2 linked regions of the Diceros bicornis minor genome follow. Each later gene encodes a partner of the first gene's protein in a complex. Links are inferred from orthologs where the notes say so. Each region holds a gene or a part of one and is shown on either strand. Other genes may lie near its edges.

Region 1 (9,731 bases):
TGATGAATAGTCACACAATAAATGTTCTGGTTTTAAAAAATAAAGAAAAAAGAAAATATATAACCTAGAAGAAATGGATAAACTCCTAGAAAGACACAGACTACCAACACTGACTCAAGAAGAAATAGACAATCTGAGCAGACCAATAATAAGTGAAGATATTGAATTAGTAATTTTAAAAACTACCCACAATGAAAAGCCCATGGCTTCAGTGGTGAATTCTACCAAACATTAAAGAATTAATACCAATTTTTCACAAACTCTTCTCAAAAATAGAAGAGGAAGGAACACTTCCCAATTCATTTTATGAGGCCAGTATTACCCTGATACTAAAACCAAAGACATCACAAAAGAAGAAAACTATAGACCAACAGCTTTGTATGAATACACATGCAAATGTTCTCAACAACAAATTAGCAAACCAAATCCAGCAACATATAGAAAGAATTATACACCATGATCAAGTGGCCTTTTTCCCAAGAATATGAGGTTGGCTTAACATCCAAAAATCAATTAATGTAATACAGTATAATAATAGAATAAAAATGAAAGCGAAATTAAGATTTTCCCATGTAAACAAAAACTGAGAGAATCTGTCACTAGCAGACCTGCACTACAAGAAATGCTAAAGGGAATCTTTCAGGCTAAAATGAAATGATACCAGACAGTAACTCAATTCCAAAGGAAAAAATAAAGAGCGCAAATAAAGGTAACTACATCAGTAAATATAAAAAACAACATAAATATACTTTTTGTTTGTAGCTCTTTTTTTTCTTCTATGTGATTTAAGCCATAATTATATCTATTATGTGGATAAAAGTGCAAAGGCCTGATGTTCCTGTTTATTTTGGTTTGTGCTGTCCAGTATGAATGTCATTGAAGGACAAAGAGGCACCAGCACTTGGGGAAGTTATTTCATTCCTGTGCCCTATTTCCTGACTTGTAGCATCTCTGACTGGCTGGGCCACAGACCCATAGTTGTGTGCAATGGGCCCAGGAGGGCCAGCCACTGGCTGCCGGCTCAATGCTGACCTGAGTGGCATTCCTGCCACAGATCTGCTGTGCACCGTGATGCCATGCATACCTACCCAAGATCTCAAGCATGATGGCTAATCTGTCTTCTTCATGGCTGGTTTCACTTTCTCCAGTGGCTTTTTTTTTCTTTTTTTGCTGAGGAAGATTTGCACTGAGCTAACATCTGTGCCAATCTTCCTTTATTTTGTATGTGGGTTGCTGCCTCAGCATGGCTGATAAGTGGTGTCATGTGCCCAGGATCCAAACCTGTGAACCCAGGCCACCAAAGTGGAGCAGACCAAACTTAACCACTACACCATGGGGCCAGCCCCTCCAGTGGCTATCTTTTGAGAACTACAGAACTTCGGGCACCTAAAAACTCATCCAAACCTCGGCACTAAAAGACAACCAATCTCTAGAATGACTTCTAGCAGCATGAGGCCGTGTCCTTAGGATGACCCCAGCCCCCCATTAAAATGCCTGCCTGAGAAAGCTCAAACACTGCCAGCAGAACTCACTATTCTCACCAACACCTGACTTCCTTTTCTTAGAGCATTTACTAAAAAGGGCTTGTAATTATGACTCTTTACTCTGTCCCTTTGAGATGTATCTACTACAACTCAGGAGTGTCAGGATTATAGGGCCACCGGGCTGGCCCTATAATCACCTTTACAGTGACCTACACTTTGTAATTTTCCACTGGAGCCCCACTCTCTCTCCTTCCCTACCCTCTTCCTTTAAAACTCCCAGTCACCTCAGTGCAAATAGGAACAGAGCTCAGCTCTTCCCTTGCTGTCAGCAGTTACTGAGTAAAATCTGCTTCCACCACTCCAGCTGGTGCTTCAAACCTTGGCATATGCAAATAGTTTTAAAACAAGGTAGATTTGCCTGTGGGAAGGAGAGAGAGAGAGAGGACTGGGAGGAAGCAAGCAGAAGACATCAGGGGGCTAGGAACGTTGTTTTTCCTGATAAGTGGTGGTTACACAGGTGAGTTCACCTTGTGCTAATTCATTAAACTGCTCACTTACGATTTAGGCACTTTTCTCAATGTGCTTTGTTTCAGTATGAAAACAAAGCAAAAGAGTAATACTCAGTAGAGAAGCTGACATAAAACAATACATACTATATTACATATTTATATAAATTCAGACATACCCAGAGAAACTATACTGTATTGTCCATAGGTGTACACTTTAGTGGTGTTATTTTGAAGCAATGCTTCTCAAATTTGAGCACATCAGAATCATCTGGAAAGCTTGTTAAAACCACAGACGGCTGGGCCCCCTTCCAGTTTCCAATTAAGTAGAATTGGGCTGGGGCCTGGGAATTTTCGTTTCTAACAAGTTCCCAGTTAATGCTGGTATGGTTGATCCTGGGACCACACTTTGAGACCCACTGTTACAAAGAATGGCAAGGAAGTATTTACCATAAATGTCAGGATAATGGTTATCTCTGGCGGGTGGAAGGGGCTTGTGAACGGTAAAGGCGCACAAGGGGGAGCTGCTGGGATGCTGGCGACATTCTCTTTCCTCACTTAGGTAGTGATTACATAGATATCCACATCAAAATAATTTATTAAATTGAACATTTGTTTTATGCACTTTTTATATATATTATGATTCACAATAAAAAAAAAAAGGTTAAAGCAATTTTAAAAACAAAAGAAAAAGAGTCTGCATCCCTAATGGCACACTATGCCCCATAGGCCTCCTTGGACTACTTATTCCATGAGATAGATTAATTCTTGTCTGTTTAAGCCACTAGAGAAGGGTATTGTGTTATTTGCAGCCAAACACAATCATAATTATATGTGATAATCTTGGAGCTCATTCCATAATAGCACTGCTTTATTCTTTTTAAGGGCTGTATAGATGTGTCATATTTTTAAAACCAAACCAGTCCCCCATTGATGAACAATTAGGTTGCTTCCAGACTTTTCTATTCAAACAATGCTGGATTGTATTGGTGGGAGAGAGGGAGAATCTCCCTCTGCCCTTTTCCTTAAGGTTCTTATGGCTGGCCAAATAATTAACAAGACAGGTTAGCAGGAGAAAATAATACCAAGTTTAATAACATGTATACATGGGAGAAAGCAGGGACATGGCGTTTCTCAACACAATAACAGAAATTCTCGTCTTAAATACCATGTTCAGCCAATGACAAAGGAGGATGTTGGGGGTGGGAGGAGTCAGTTACAGGAGTTACCACTAAAGCACAGTAAACAAGAGTAAGGTTATTATGCAGATTTAAGGCCTCACCTTCCACATTGATAAGTCTCTAGAAATGAGGCCATCTCCCCTTTTCCCAATACAGAGAGGGCGATACCTTTACAAATGGAGATTTCCCTTATAAATGTAAATGTTTGTCTGGCAACTCCTCGCAGGGCCATCCAGAGAATGTGGCCAGAGAGACATAAGATGGGCTTGTTGGTGCCTTTTCTATTGTAACATCTATTTTACATTATATTACAGCCATCAGATAGAAGGTCTGTTCCAGGAAGGAGTTACTATGTCAAATTCTTTAGACAGGTAGTGGGGGAGGTCAACTGTGCCTCAGAGAAAACAATCAAGGTAAAGAGATATATTTCAGGGTGGCCAAATCTTGATCTCCCACAGTATCTCTTTGTACATATGTCTGAGCACATGGGGGAGCCCACCTGTAAGATAATTTTCTAGGCCTTGAAGTGCTTGATCAAAAGATTTGTACAAGGGATTATTCTAAGTTAACAGACATTATACAAATGTACACTCCCACCAATAGGTATCACAGTGCCTGTTTTCCCCAGCCTTGCCAACACAGTTTCCCATCAAAAGGCACACCAAGTGATGGCGGAGGACACCAGAACTCTCTCTCTTCCTAAAAACCTGGCTAGGGGGCCCTATTACCCTGGTTTTATAGGTAAGTAAACAGATTGCCAAGGATAAGGGACCTACTTTTCTCAACTTCAGCCTCCATTTCTGGATTGGATTAACATCTTCTAAGAATAGATATGGTAACTGCTCCGTGTCATAGCGATTATTATTATTACTATCATTCCCACTTCCCATTCTGCAAGCTAGAAGCCATTTCTTCACTTCTGGTGCAGACAGGACAAAAATTGTGTTCTAGCCTCTCTAATCCATTCCCTCTGGTACTCCCTGAGGCCAGTCCTTCTTCTCTTCCTCCCACCCTCTTCTCTTCCCTCCCCTAATGAGCCTCTCTTCAGAAGCCCCATTGCTCGTCACAACAAGGCTGCAAGAAGTATTGGTTCCTGTTTCTTTACCATCTTATTAGCACATACCCCGACAGGGTCCTGTTCCCAGAGAGAATGTGTAGTGGTTAAGATCAGAGACACCCACCCCAAACTGCCTGGGCATTGCTACTGGCTATCCTGTAACCTTGGACAAATTACTTCTGCTTTCCTCACCGTCCTCATTTGTAAAATGGGAATGCTGATACTCCCTACTTCAGAGTCGTAGGTTGAGTACAGATAATATGTGCCTGGCACGTGGTTGTTGTTGTTATATTACTATTATCAATGGAGAAGAAACTAATACTAAGAACCTGGCACTGTAATCTGAAAAGTCACTTAATCCTCGCAACAGTCCCCCAGAATAGATTGTTATTCCATTTTAGAGCAACGGGCGAGAGAGACCGCTAATCCCATCTCTGCCAGGGTTTAGCAGAGCGACCAAGAGTGCGAGTCTGTTTTCTCCCCTGTAAACAGTAACAATAACGCGTGCCTCGCCCTGTCCTGCGGAGTACTAACAGACCACGCAGAAGCCCTTGAACAAACTTGCTTTCCTTCCCCAGTTTCCCATCCACACGCCCCGCCACACCCCTATCGCTCAAGCGCAAGTTCACATTTCAGTCCAGGCTCCCCCAGTCGTCACAGCCGGGACGCGTGACGTCACGGCCCCGCCCGAGCAGACCCGGAAGCAGAATCCCCTACAGGTCCGAGCTGGCATTACTGCTCGGGCCCGCTGCCAGAGGGCGCGAGAGTCGCCGATGTTGGCTAGCACCTCCCTTGTTTCGTCGCAGGCCGGTCCCGGAAATGGAAGCGTTTGCCGTACAAGATGGCTGCTTCCTTTGTGGTGGTATGGAACGCTGAGAGGCTGTCCTGGTTCTGGGAGGCGCGGTGATCTGAGCGCAGTGATTGCTGCGCAGCCTTCTCGTACAAGTTAGCTGCTGAGGAGTTTCCAGGTGTCTTTCTTGAGGCGGTAGGTGGCCACAGGTACAAGATGGCGGCCCCCACTGCGGGCTCGCGGCGGGCGGGGAATGGGGGCGGCGTGCGCGGTTGCGCAAGCGGGGCGGCCCTCCAGCAGGGTGCGGCTGAGCTCGCGGCCGGCTTTTGTGTGCCGGGAGGGTGACGCCGCCGGGCCGCGCTGTGGAGTGCTGAGACCCGGGTAGGGGATTTTGCTCCCAGCAATTGAGAGAGGTGGGCAGAACCGAGATTCCTGGAAGCCGCAAACTGACTCCTGTAGACAAAGACTCGTTTTTTGCTATTTTAAGCCGTGAAACCAGAGTATAACCAGGTGAAATAAATTGGAGTAGATCCTTTCAGAGAACTAACCTGCCATCGCTAGAAAGAGCAAAGCGGCACTTTATATACTAATATATATTTTTTTTGCTGAGGAAGATCAGCCCTGGGCTAACATCCACACCCATCTTCCTCCACTTTATATGGGACTCCGCCACAGCATGGCCTTACAAGAGGTGCGTGGGTGCCTGCCCGATGCGAACCCGCCAACCCTGGCCCAGCAGCAGAGCGCATGCACTTAACCGTTTGCGCCACCAGGCCGGCCCCACAAAGTTCTTTTATAAAATTATAGTAAAGAGAATAACACGTTTAAAAAAAAGTGAGCTTTTTCAGCTGGAACCATGACATTTAATGAAGATTCTTGAGATTGAATTTGTAAGGATAAAAATTTGAAGGTCGGTACTGTAGTACTTGCTGCAAAGGATACAGATCCATGTGACAACCTGAGCCCTCTTGAAAGCTAGATATAGGTTTGGTTTTGTTTGTTGAGGGGAGGAAGGGAGATGGGGGGTTTGGCTGGCACACAGAATGCGCTCAAGACCTCCCTGTTGAATGAATGCCTAAATGCCTGTCCACTGCCAACACACGTGTTCTCAGCAGCTTAGTCTTGCTGGTATAGCTTCTGATATTTCTAGGGTTAGTATAGTGGAAAACAATAGCAGCATTGAATTAGAGTTTAAACCGAGTGTGTTTTTTGGCCTTAAAATCATCCAGAAATGTGTTTCCAATGCTTAAAAAATAAAGTAGCAGCCGTTTCAGAATTGGCATTGATCTTGGGAATCGCATATTTGAATGTGAAGGAAATGCCAGTCCTCCATGACCGTACTGAGCCTTTGCTAGTGTGCCAGACACTGGACTAGTGGGCACTCTTACATGTACCACTCTGGGTTATTGGGTGTATTAAATATGGTAATATATGGAGCTGGCCTGGTGGCATAGCAGTTAAGTGCACGAGCTCCACTGTGACGGCCAGTGGTTCGCCAGTTTGGATCCTGGGCGCGCACAGACCACCACTCGGCAAGCCATGCTGTGGCAGCGTCCCATATAAAAAAGTGGAGGAAGGTGGGCACAGATGTTAGCCCAGGGCCAGTCTTCCTCAGCAAAAAAGAGGAGGATTGGCAGAGGTTAGCTCAGGGCTGATCTTCCTCACACACACACACACACACACAAAAATGGTAGTATAACTGGAGTTTAGCCAAGTTCCTGACCTGTACTAAATGCTCAATAAATATTAGCAATTACTATTTTGGGGCAACTGTGAGTTTCTCGATTCAGTACATTTTTGCCTCTGAGACCTTATGGAGACTTTAAAAATATGGTAGCTACTGTAGAGAACTTACTGTTTTTTTTTAATCAACTTAGAGGCCACATGGTATAATGGAAAGAATTTAGGTCCTTATTGTGTTTCTTTGAGTAAGTTACTTAACCTTTAGGGACTTTAGTCTCCTCATGTGTAAGCCGAGAATCACAAAACCTCTGTTGGAGGCTCACTGTGAAGATAATGATTAGAAGTAATGTATGTAAAGCACTCAGTAAGTGTTCTCTAATTCTGTAATATTTCAACCTCAGAGTTAAGGAACTAATACTGCACTCAGAGGCAGGAGAACTTCTCTGGTCAGGGGCAGGAGTAGGCGGCCACAGGGTGACAGTTAACACAGGAAGCCTACAAGCAGAAATTGGAGGGATGACAGGTCCACTGGCTTCAGGGCCTTAGGCTTCCTCTCTCCATTGGGAAAATGGTGAGGCCGCCACACCAGGCAGATATGGTCTGCAGGCCCTTTGCAGAGGTGCCCCCTTGCCAACAGCGACCTGCACTGTTTCAGCTCACAGTCGCCTCTTTGGAGCATCTTAACACTGTCTCTCAGAGGCATCAGCCACTGTTTATGAGGCTCATTCCTCATACTTTAGTATTTAATATGAAGTACCTACTGCATATGTTTAAATTTTTTTTAAATTTTAAATTGTGGCAAAATATAAATAACATAAAATTTACCATCTTAATATTTTTTAAGTGTACAGTTCAGTGGCATTAAGTACATTCATATTGTTTTCTCCAGAAGTCTTTTCATCATACAAAAAGATGAAACTCTACCCATTAGCAATAACTGTCTGAAACTCTGTACCCATTAAATAATACCTCTCCATTCTGCCTTCCCAGCAGCCCCTGGGAACCACCATTCTACTTTCTGTCTCTGAATTTGACTACTCTAGGGACCTCATGTAAGTGGAGTCATATAGTATTTGTCTTTTTATGACTGGCTTATTTTACTTAGCATAATGTCAGAATTTCCTTCCTTTTAAAAGCTGAGTAATACTCCATTGTATGCATGTTCATATACCACTTAAGGGGAGCAAAATATGCCACCCCAAAATGTGCCACTTTGGCATGTGGGTTATTTTGAGCTGAAGGCAGTCAAGACCTAGCAGACTCAGGAAAATCTTTTCCCTCTCCCTTAACTGCCTAAAAGAGTTTAAATAGGGGCCTGGCTGAGGAGGAGAGCAATTACCAGAGATTTCTTTTTATCTGTAAGACTTACCTGCGTGGCAGGGCAAACATCTGCTCTTCTTGTCTTCTGGTGCATTGCCTTTCTCCCTTTTGAAGGCTCAGGCCCTTATTCCCTTCCTTAGGTCAGGATAGCATATAAGCCTCAATTGCCTGACAGCTTTTGGGTCTCATGTTTTTATGGGGCTCCCATACATATGAAATTAAATTTGTTTTTCTCCTGTTAATCTGTCTTATATCAATTTAATTATTAGATCAGCCAAAGACCCTAGAAGGGTAGAAGGAATTTTTTCTGCCTCGACACCACATTTTGCTTATCAATTCATCTGTTTGTTTTTTTTTTTTTGTGAGGAGATCAGCACTGTGCTAACATCTGCCAATCTTCCTCTTTTTTTGCTGAGGAAGACTGGCCCTGGGCTAACATCCGTGCCCATCTTCCTCCACTTTATTTATTTATTTTTTCCCCCTAAAGCCCAGTGGATAGTTGTACGTCATGGTTGCACATCCTGCTAGTTGCTGTATGTGGGATGCCGCCTCAGCATGGCTGGAGAAGCGGTGCGTCAGTGCACGTCCGGGATCCGAACCTGGGCCGCCAGCAGCGGAGCGCACGCACTTAACCGCTAAGTCACGGGGCCGGCCCCTTCCTCCACTTCATATGGGACGCCGCCACAGCATGGCTTGCCAAGCAGTGTGTCGGTGTGCGCCCGGGATCCGAACTGGCGAACCCTGGGCCGCTGCTGCAGAGCGCAAGCACTTAACGCTTGCGCCACCGGGTCAGCCCCTCAATTCATCAAGTGTTGATGACACTTGAGTTGCTTCCATCTTGTGACTATTGTGAATAATGCTGCTATGAACATGGGGTGCATACATATTTTAATATGAAGAAATATCCAATAGGATTATAGAGAGTAGAGTATATTTTATATATTTACATTTGATAAAGTAATTCTGAGTCATAAAAAATATGATATTATGAGGGTATTTACCAGGTCATTAGAAGATTTAAAAAATATAATTAGTCATTGTGCATCATGGGCCATGACGTGGCCCAGTAATGGGACACAGGTTTAAAGTTCTCTGATAATCGTGGTCTTCCTTTCTGCTGTGTCAGTGAGTTTGGGAAATTTCCTGGATAATCTTATTTAGAGATGGCATCGAAAACCTAAGGAATAGATGCACGAAAATAGGGATCAAAGACCTTTAACAAAGGATTGTAAGGAGAACTATTGGAAACACCTAAGGCCTAATTTATTCATGTGTGAAATGTGGATAATAGGATTTATCTCAGGAGGTGGTTGTGGGGATAGCAGAAGTCACAGTGAGTAAAGGGCTCACCTAGCCAGCAATGAATGTTGGCCATGATGATAATGATGTCTGTGGACATGGAAAAATGTTCATAATATGCAACTAATTTTAAAAAGGAATGCAGTAAATCTACGTGAAGGGCATATGGGGATTCTTTGTACTGTTCTTGCAACTTTTCTGTAAGTTTAAATTTATATCAAAATAAATAAGTTTGTGGGTTTTTTTTTTTTTTTTTTGCTGAGGAAGATTAGCCCTGAGCTAACAGCTGTTGCCAGTCTTCCTCTTTTTGGTGAGGAAGATTGGCCCTGGGCTAACATCTGTGCCCATCTTCCTCTACTTGATTATATGTAGGACGCCTGCAACAGCATGGCTTGATAAGTGGTGCGCAGG
Region 2 (10,209 bases), on another chromosome or scaffold:
ACCAGGCAGGGGAGGACAGAGTGACACAGGGCCCCCAAGGCTGGAGAGGAGGCGCTGGGGAGATGAAGGCCATCTTGAGGCTTTTATTTTATAACCTGACAGATAGCAGGCCCCTGACAAGGCTGCAGCTACATTAGGCCCCCTTATCTGTGGGGGATACATTCCAAGACCCCCAGTGGATGCCCAAAACTACAGATAGTACTGAATCCTATATGTAGTATGTTTTTCCCTATACATACATACCTATGGTAAAGTTTAATTTATAAATTAGGCACAGTAAGAGATTAACAACAATAACTAACAATAAAATAGAACAATTACAGTCATGTGCTGCATAATGATGTTTCAATGACAGACTGAAGATACAATGGTGGTCCCTTAACATTAGTACCATATAGCCTAGCTGTGTGGTAGGCTATACCATCTAGGTTTGTGTAAGTACTGTAGGGGAGAAATAAATTTTCCTCTACTCTTCTAGGTTCTTCTGGCTGGTCTGAGAATTATATTGACATTAAACAGATTAAACAAAAGTTTAAAACGTGTACCCATGGGAGAAACTCAGGAAAACCGAGTAAGTAGACAAAATGGCTGAAGCCCTCACCTTAAATTCCAGCCTTAGCTAAAAACGAAAGATATTGTGGGTGGGGAGAGTCAGGGACTTCAAAGGAAAGAAAGGTAATTCACAGGTAGGTGAAAAGCAACAAACGTTTGGAAAACAAGTGTCTGGCCACACAGAAACAGAAGAACACAGAGGGGAACGCAACAAACAGGCTTTTCTAGGTTCCTCCCTGTCTATCACATAGTTCATTATGCTAAGGTGATAGCTGCTTCCTGAGACAGGTGGTTTGTTTGTTTTTGTTTGTTTTTTTTTTTTGGTGAGGAAGATTGTCCCTGAGCTAACATCTGTGCCAGTCTTCCTCTATTTTGTATGTGGGACGCCGCCACAGCATGGCTTGATGAGCAGTGTGTAGGTCTGTGCCTGGAATCTGAACCTGTGAACCCTGGGCCACCGAAGTGGAGCCCACAGACTTAACCACTACACCACTGGATGGCCCCCTGAGACAGGTTTTTTAATCTGAATTCTTTTAGGCAGGTAAGAGGGAAGTAACAAGAAAAACTTTCTGAATCTTTTACAGGATATATACATATTTTTTCCCCTCCCCAAAGCCCCAGTACATAGTTGTATATTCTAGTTGTAGGTCCTTCTAGTTCTTCTGTGTAATCTGCCACTACAGCATAACTACTGTCAGACGAGTGGTGTGGTTTTGTCCCGGGGAACTGAACCGGGGCCACTGAAGTGGAGCATGCCGAACTTTAACCACTAGACCATTAGGGCAGGCTCTGAATCTTTTGTTTCTTAAAAATAATTCTCATGTTAAAGAGATATATTTTGTGGTGACAAGTTTTTTTTTTGTTTTTTTTGTGAGGAAGATCAGCTCTGAGCTAACATCCATGCCAATCCTCCTCTTTTTGCTGAGGAAGACTGGCCCTGGGCTAACATCTGTGCCCATCTTCCTTTACTTTATATGGGACACCGCCACAGCATGGCCTGACAAGCAGTGCGTGGGTGCGCGTCTGGGATCCGAACCCAGGCCACCAGCAGCGGAGCGCACGCACTTAATCACTGCACCATGGGGCCGGCCCCTGGGGTGGGAAGTTTTGTTCCCTTTCAGTACACTCTGTGATGTTTGCACAACAAAATCGCCTAACAAGGCATTTCTCAGAACATATTCCCATTGTTAAGTGACACATGACTGTATAGCAATATACTGTAATACAAGTTATTGTAGATGTTAGCAACCTGAGCATGATTTTTTTCTTTCCTTTTTCAGTTGAGAACTTTCACTTTTTTACTTAAAGGAAGCACTTGACGTCTTCTCTTTGGCATAACCAAATTGCCAGCATCACTACTCCCGTGCTTTGGGGCCATTATTAAGTAAAATAAGGATTACTTGAACACACGTACTGTGATACCGTGAAGTTGATCTGATAACTGAGAGGGCTGCTAAATGACTAATGGGCAGGTAGAGTATACAGCGTGGATATGCTGGACAAAGGGATGATTCACATCCTGGGGGAGGAGGAGAAGGACAGCGCAAGATTTCATCATGCTACTCACAATGGACCGCAATTTAAAACTTATGAATTGTTTATTTGTGGAATTTTCTATTTAATATTTTTGGACTGTGGTTGACTATGGTTGACTTCGCTCAGAAAGCGAAACTGCGGATGAGGGGGGACTACCGTACAGTCTTACCTCTCTGAGAACAAACAGATCTAGCCAAGACAGGGAACCGAAAAATAAATGTGGAGGAGCAATGTTAGCAGGTTTCTTCAGGAGTATGCACAGCGAGCGTGGCAAGTGGGAGCAGTGCGGTCCAGAGAGGAGGGCGGCAGGCTCAGAAGGGCAGACTGGATGGTAGGCTCAGGGGGTGACCAGACTAGATAATCAGGCCCAAGGGGTGACCAAGCCAGAATGGTAGGCTCAGCAGGGCAGGCTGGACAGCAGGCTCAGGGGGTGACCAGGCCAGGTTAGCAGGTTCAAGAGTGACTAGGCTAGGTGACAGGTTCAAGGGGTCACTAGACGGGGGAGACAGCATCAGTCTGAGACAACAGACTGAGAAGATGATGAGGCTGGGTCAGCAGGCTCATGAGGTTGCTAGGTTGGGCAGAGCATAACCATGTCGTGTCATCAGGCTCAGCAGAACAAGAGAGGGAGGCTGGCTTAGAGGGAATGGAGGCAGGGACTTACCTGCTCTCTGCTTCCTCTGGGGTCCCTAACATCTTGGCCTTGATCTTCTTCCGCTGCTTCCTGACAGCCACCTTCATGGCTTCTAGGAGAAGCCCGGGTACCCGGTGGTCTGAGAGCAGCTCCCTACAGAGGAGCAGGAGGGGCAGGGAAAAGCAGTGGGGATGCCAACAGCAGGTCTCACCCAAGCACCTGTGCATGTTGTTCCCCCCTTTTGAAACACTCTGCCTTGCTATCACCCCTCAGACCTTAGCTTAGGTGTCACCCCTCCTAGAAATACTTCCTTGACTGCTGCTGCAGTAGCTGTTACCCTTTGCACCGCCCCCTCCTGCATTTGGATGACGTTCCAGGAGGACAGGGGCTGTGTGATTCACGTCCTCCCAGTGCCCAGCACAGGGTCTGGCACATGGCACTGTGAATATATCAATGAACCAAAGAATGAGGCCAGGGACCTGAGGCCCAGGAGCAGGTGTGAGTGGAGCCCCACTCAGCTTCCCAGCCCCTGCCTGGCGCCCTCACCGCTGGAAGTAGGCCAACTCCTCCTTCAGCAGGAACACGTTGGCTTTGAGCTCATTCCGCTCCTGAAGGATCTGCTCAAGCTCCTCTCGACTGAAGTTGCACTGCCCTACCTTGGAGGGGCGCCCCGGCTGCTGCGGGGCATCGGCCTGCGGAAGGACAGGCTGGGTCAGAGGGGAGCCTCAGCGTGCCCTCCCCTGCCCCCCGGCCATCACAGGAAGGCGAGAGGATGTGACTAGCAGGGAGACTTGGGAGGCAAGAGAGCTACAATAGATGACAGACCAATGCTCTATTGGGGAGGAGGCCGGCTGGGGGCGCACACTGTGCGCCACCTTCCAACTTCCCAGTGGGCCTGCACGGCAAACCTCTCCCGAGTGCCCACCAAGTGCTGCAGGCTGTGAGTCCTGGAATGGGTCACTGACATCATCGGGCACTTGCCGGATCCTCAGGGGTCCCCGGGGCTCCTGCGCCGGCAGTCGCCGGCTCGGGCTCCTGCCTCTGCTCGCACCCGGGCCCCCCGGCCTGGTCCCGCTCCCGCTCCTGAGCCAGCTGCACGGCCCCTTCGCTCCGCGGCTCTGGCTGGCTCTCGCGGTCCCGCGCTGCGCGCAGCTGGGTTTGCACCAAGGCCAGCTTGTGCCGCAACTCTGCGTTCACCAGCAGGAGGCGCTGCAGCTGTTCCTGCAACTGGGGGCGGGGCAGAGAGTGGGGCTGGCGGGCGAGGCGCCGAGCGGAGGGAACCCCGCCCCGCGCCCGTCGCCGCGCCCCGCCCTCACGGCTTCGGTCTCCTGGCTGCGCTGTAGCAGGTCGCGGTTGTGCGCCCGGAGTTCATCCCGCTGTCGGTCGGTTACCTCCTTGAGCTGCCGCAGCAGAGCTCGATCCTCTGAGGAAGGGGCGTTCTTAGCGGCGGACCGCGGGAGGGAGGCCCTGGGCCTGCCCCCGCCCCGTCCCTCTGGCCGGGCCCGCGCTCACCCTGTGGCCCAGAGCGCAGCTGTCTGCGGAGGTGCTCGTTCTCCTCCCGCAGCCGCCGCAGCTCCAGTTCGGCCTGCTGCGCCGACACCTGCAGCTGGGGAGTCCAGGCTCTCAGGACTGGGCCCCACTGGACCCGCGCTGGCGAGGGAGGGCGCAGTGACTCACCGAGTCCGGGACGGGCCCCACGGCAGCCTTTTCCAGGAGCTCCAGCGCCCGCACCACGAGCGGCACGAGCCGGGCCGCCGCCTCCGGCCCGAAGCGGCGCGCCAGATCCTGCAGCTCAGTGCCCAGGGCTCCCGCTAGATGGTACACGAGCTCCGCGGCCGTCCCCGACCCCGCGGCCACTTGAGGCCCCCAGCCGTGCGCCCCAGGCGGCGCCCTCCTGGGCTCCATGTTCTCAGACGGTCAAGGGCTGCGACACCCCGCGCCCCCAGCCCCAGTGGGGCAGGAAAAAGCCACAGTCCCGGCCAAGGAAGCAGCTTAGCAGTACAGGGCGGGGTGGAAGCGACAGGGCGGAGCGATTAAGGGGAAGGAGACAGTGGCCTGGGCATCCTGGACCCTGCCCTGTTCAAGCCCCCAAGGTCACAGGAAGCAGGACAACCAACTCCTAGCCAGGCAGCCAAGAGCTGAGGCTCAGGGTAAGTGGTCACTTCCGTCAAGCCCTCCCCACAACGCCCAGTCCATGCTCCACCCCTGCCTGGAGTCATGGGGCCTGACTTGGCTGCCAAGCACTCCAGACAAGAGGCTGAGGCCAGTGACAGCCAGCTGTCCAACCATGTGCCCGTTTCCCTGACCAGGAGTGACACAAAGCTTAAGGAGCTTGGCTGCGCACCACACCTGCAGAGAACAAGCCATGAACTTCCAGAGACAGAAAATGGCAAGGACTGCTCCAAGGGATGTTGAAAAGTGGTGATGGTTTCTAAGTATTTTGGAGGGAAAATGGCAAATGTGGTCAAGGAAGCAGGAGTGTGAAAGCCCAACCCCCCCTCAGTTGCCTGAGTCTGGAGGATATTGAGCCTCAGCCCCTGGGAAGCCTTGTACCCCACCCCCCAAGGCTGAGCCCACTACCTTGCTGTCAGTCAGTCCAGCCTCCTGCCATCCCTACACCCAGAATTTGAGCTCAGGGGCAAAAAAAAAAAACTCAAACACTCCTATTTGTACAAAATTTATTATTATACTTTGTTCAGGATTACAAGCCACCAGGAGGTCAACAACACAACAACAAGCACAAAATAGATGAAAAAGGGGCCAAGCTGCTGAATGTCACCAGCTCGTCTGGGGGGTAAAAGGCTCCAGCCTTTCAGGAGTCTGAAGCAGGAGGTGAGGAAACAACTAGGCATAGAGGTCCTCTCGGTCAGCAGAGTAGACCTCGCCCTCCTGCAGGAGGGCAAAGTTGAGGAAGTGGGAGGGTCTGTGCACCTCGTGGTAGAACTCTTTGGGGTTTGCCAGCTGTAGCTCATACTTCATGTTGGGATCATGCCGGACACCTTGGAGTAGAAGGAAATGTCCAGTATTAAGAAGGTCCACCTGCCTCACCCAGCCCAGGCCCCTAGGCCAGCTCCAAACCAGAGCCAGGCCTCAGGTGCTAAAGGTGATGGCCTAACCCCATCCCCACTTTCCTGTGCTCCCCTACCTACCCATAAAGTTGTAGTTCCATGAGGACTGGGCAGGGACCATAAAGAAGCCGAGGAAACGGTCCGACAACAGCATCTGGACCCTCTCATAGTGTGAGGGTAAGTAGCCCTTGGGGTTGTTGCCCTTGTCTGTGTTCTGGCGGCCCCATTCGTAGCCACTGGGTGTCAGCTTGTAGGCTGTCAATGTGCAGGAGCCTGGTGTGAAGCTGGAAGAGGGACGAGGACAGAGTCAGAGCTCAGGCCACCACTCTGGGCCCTGGCCTGCAATGCCTGCCCACCATATTTCCTCCAAGCGGGCCCAAGCCCACCTGCAGGTGATGATAATGGTCTTCTCGCCATCCCAAGATGGGTTGTCAGCCATGATCTTGGCATGGGTGGTTACATCCTGGGGTGACAGCTGGGGGGACTCATTGGGCTGAGTGTGGATCCAACCTAAGGGTTCCATCTCCTGTAGGCAAAGAGCAGTGAACAGCTATTTAAAGCCCCATCTGCAGAGAGGAATCCCACCAATGAGAGTAACATGCCTGCCTTCCCTCCACCACCCTGACAGCAGAAAGCCCCCATTCTCCCACACCCCCACTGACCTTGAGGTACTCATGTTGGGGCAGCTGGCCTGGCAGGTGCACGGTCTGGTGAGTGCCCCACTGTGGTACCATCACAATGCAGCGAATCTCCTTCACCTGGGGGTTATCCGGTGGGCTCACCCCATACAAGTATCCTGCAATCTGGAGAACAGAGGGTCAAGAACCAAAACAATTCTCAGTACCAGCCCAGACTCTGGGCTGTCAGCCCTGTGTTTCATTCCCTTCCCCAAGAACAAGGACAATTTCTCAAAGTGTGGTCAGATCTGCAGCAGAATCACCCAGGGTGCTTGTTCAAAATGTTAAACGTGAACCTCATCACAGAGTTACATCAGAATCTCTTGAGTGGGGTCCAGGAATCTGTACTGCTCACACTCTCTCCAGTAAATTATTTAAGTACAGTATCCATAAACAAATGAGCACACAACTCATGAATTTTCACAAGCTGAACATATCTTTATTTATTTTATTTATTTATTTATTTATTTTCCCCCCAAAGCCCCAGTAGATAGTTGTATGTCATAGCTGCACATCCTTCTAGGTGCTGTATGTGGGATGCGGCCTCAGCATGGCCAGAGAAGCGGTGCATCAGTGCGCCCCTGGGGTCCGAACCCTGGGCCACCAGCAGCGGAGCGCACGCACTTAACCGCTAAGCCACGGGGCCGGCCCTGAACATATCTTTAAAACCAGCACTAGGTGGTATGTTAAATTTTACATTGCCATCAGCAAAGTAAGAGGACTCATGTTCCCATAAACTTGCCCACATATTTTTTTTTTTTTTTTGAGGAAGATCAGCCCTGAGCTAACATACATGCTAATCTTCTGTTTTTTTAGCTGAGGAAGACTGGCTCTGAGCTAACTTCTATTGCCAATCCTCCTCCTTTTTTTTTCCCCCCAAAGCCCCAGTAGACAGTTGTATGTCATAGTTGCACATCCTTCTAGTTGCTGTATGTGGGACGTGGCCTCAGCATGGCCAGAGAAGCAGTGCGTCGATGCGCACCCGGGATCTGAACCCGGGCCGCCAGTAGTGGAGCACGCGCACTTAACCGCTAAGCCACCAGGCTGGCCCTCCCGCATGAGATATTAATAATCTTTTCAAATTCACCAATCTGAGGCCCCAAATTGGTGTTTTATAAATTATGAACTTCCCTGATTACTAGTAAAGTTGTGCATCTTTTCATATTATATTTGCCATCTGTAGTTCCTTTTCTGAAATACCTTCATATTCTTTGCCCGTTCTTCTACAGTTAACTTTTTTTTAAATCAACTTCTGAGAATTCCCTATTCTAGAGTGATGCATTGTATCTTAGAGTTATGCAACTCTTCCTGTTTCTAGCTTGTCGTTGTGGTACCCTTTGTCACACAAAAGTTATTAATTTTAATTACGGTTTTGTGTTTTGTGTCTTATTTAAGGCTATCTCAACATGAAGGTAATATACATTTTCTTCCAATAGTCTACAGTTTAGTATTTTACATTCAGATCTTTACTCCACGTGGATTCTATTTTTATAAGTAGTGTGAGGCAGGGATCTAGCCTCCTTTTTCTGTGTCAATAGCCTAAGGCATCCTTAATCCCATAGATTTGATACATCACATTTATTATACACACATGAATCTGTTTCTGACTATATGCTATTCTCTTCCAGTAATTTCTAGGCCAATAATACATCATTCTTTTTTTTTTGAGGAAGATTGGCCCTGAGCTAACATCTGTTGCCAATCTTCCTCTTTTTCTTTTCTCCCCGCAAAGTCCTAGTACATAGTTTTATATCCTAGTTGTAGGTCCTTCTAGTTCTTCTACATGGGACGCTGCCTCAGCATGGCTTGATGAGCGGTGAATAGGTCCACATCCAGGATCCGAAGTGGCAAACTCCAGGTGGCCAAAGCGGCACATACAAACTTAACTGCTATGCCACTGGGCCGGCCCCACATCATTCTCTTAATTGCCATACCTTTGTAATGTTTTACTATCTGGTGGGGCCAAAACCCTCCTTGTTGTTTTGGCTCTCTTTATGTATTTACTCATCCACACATCTTTTTTTTTTTTTTTTTTTTGGTGAGGAAGATCAGCCGTGAGCTAACATCTGCCAATCCTCCTCTTTTTGCTGAGGAAGACTGGCCCTGGGCTAACATCCGTGCCCATCTTCCTCCACTTTATATGGGACGCCGCCACAGCATGGGTTGACAAGCAGTGCGTCGGTGTGTACCCGGGATCCGAACCCCGTGCCAGCACCACAGAGCACGCGCACTTAACCGCTATGCCACCGGGCCGGCCTCTCGTCCACGCATCTTAAAACCAGCACCTCAAGTTCCAAGAACTTTCAGGTGAGTTTTAGGCACATAAAATGTTGGGCACACACTATGGCCTAGTTGAGCACACTTACTCACCTGGGCCCGAAGATCAGATATGCAGATGAATTTCTTAAGCACATTCTTGGGAAGTATATAGGTATAACCAGTCTCCTTGATATCATCAGATGAAACATAGATGTGATTGGTCCTTAGGTGCAGGTTGGCAGCAGAGATGGCCCTAAGAACAGATAGGTAATGCCAGCATTTCTCAACCCAAGAACCTTAGGTAGCACCAGTAGGCCTTTCCATCCCTACCCCTCTTGCCCCTTACAGTACCTGACCCTCCATTCAGTCTTAGATGAGAATGTCTGGGTCTCATAGTTGCTGGTGGTAGAGGTGATGATTTCGTCACCATGCTTGTTGACAGTACGAGTCTGTGTTGCAGTCAGCTGCGACTGTTCCTTGGTCTGCTTCTCAATCTCAGCTATCTGCTGCCGCTGCTGTGATGGTGCTGAAATCTCCATACCCAGGATGATATCTCGAATTTCTGATTGTGTAAGTGATGCCACATTCACACTGTGGGGACAGTGTGGGTCACAAAGGATCCCTTCCCATTGGTCACTTATGCCTCAATGGCAAGAGTGTAACCTGGTGGGACAGGGGAGCCCACACTCTTACCCCAGATAATCCTCAAGTGACACTTGTAAAAGAAGTCTGAAGTGGAGATGTACTAATACTGATAAGATCTGGCACATCCCAGGATGTCCCTGTGCTTGTGCACCTTTGAGCCATGCTTAAACCTGCTCAGCATCCATAGCTTGCACTTTCTCTGGCACAAGACAATTCTCAAAAACGGAAATCCTAGAACACGTTCTCAACCAGAGTTAGTAACGGTCAGTCACCCTAGGGGGTATCTGGAAATCTATGGACATTTTTGTGGCACTGTTGCCATAATGACAGGAAAAGACAAGGAAAGAAGCTGTGTGTGTGCTATTAGCAGTGGCACCTGGGGGTCTGGGATGTTAAAACTTCCTGTAATGTGTGGACAGTAAAGAAATGCCCTGCTCAAAATGGCAATAGTGCCTTCGCTGAGAAACAACGCCCGAGAGTCAGACTGAAGCCCTGAAACGCAGATACTTCCTACACTGTCTGAAGACACTGCCCACCTCTCTTCTATAGGCATCTCCAGGACAATTTCTTGAGAAACTTCTGAGCCTAAATGTTTCAAAAAACTCAGAAACCATACACTGAGCCCGTGATTTCACCTTTTCTGGATCTTCCACCTGTCTCCCCACCACCACTGCTCACTTGTTTTTCTTGCCATAGTCAGCCAAGATAAGATCCTTGAGCTGCACCTCCACCTTGATCCATTCCTCATCAGTCAGAGTGGGCCAGATGTGGTGTGGTTCTGTAATAGTAGTCTTATCTGGCTTCAAGATCACCTTTGCCCGGTCATTGTTCACATGCA

The links.
Region 2: the proteins of RAB7A (region 1) and RILP are in contact, whole or in part, in a crystal structure (PDB 1YHN), measured with the Homo sapiens proteins. The link is inferred for Diceros bicornis minor from reciprocal best matches to the Homo sapiens genes RAB7A and RILP. Residues at the interface, in NP_004628.4 of Homo sapiens: Ser3, Lys6, Leu8, Ile41, Gly42, Ala43, Asp44, Phe45, Leu46, Thr47, Thr58, Trp62, Ser72, Leu73, Val75, Leu182, Tyr183, Asn184, Glu185; in NP_113618.2 of Homo sapiens: Phe248, Glu249, Leu252, Gln253, Arg255, Asn256, Lys259, Ala260, Phe263, Leu264, Glu267, Glu268, Tyr271, Arg274, Glu275.

Annotation. Positions count from the first base shown.
Region 1 is NC_080741.1:93,393,620-93,403,350, forward strand, and holds the start of RAB7A (ras-related protein Rab-7a), read left to right. Parts: upstream 1-5,125; 5' UTR 5,126-5,213; intron 5,214-9,731.
Region 2 is NC_080757.1:16,095,126-16,105,334, reverse strand, and holds the start of RILP (rab-interacting lysosomal protein), read right to left. Parts: upstream 4,794-10,209; 5' UTR 4,628-4,793; coding exon 4,400-4,627; intron 4,329-4,399; coding exon 4,235-4,328; intron 4,146-4,234; coding exon 4,039-4,145; intron 3,950-4,038; coding exon 3,704-3,949; intron 3,415-3,703; coding exon 3,269-3,414; intron 2,876-3,268; coding exon 2,753-2,875; intron 2,625-2,752; exon of another isoform or gene 1,833-2,624; intron 572-1,832; exon of another isoform or gene 479-571; intron 1-478. Other genes in the region: PRPF8 (pre-mRNA-processing-splicing factor 8), read right to left, coding at 5,567-5,721, 5,872-6,074, 6,177-6,316, 6,453-6,593, 8,838-8,979, 9,078-9,317, 10,050-10,209. UniProt on the Homo sapiens protein: Rab effector playing a role in late endocytic transport to degradative compartments. Involved in the regulation of lysosomal morphology and distribution.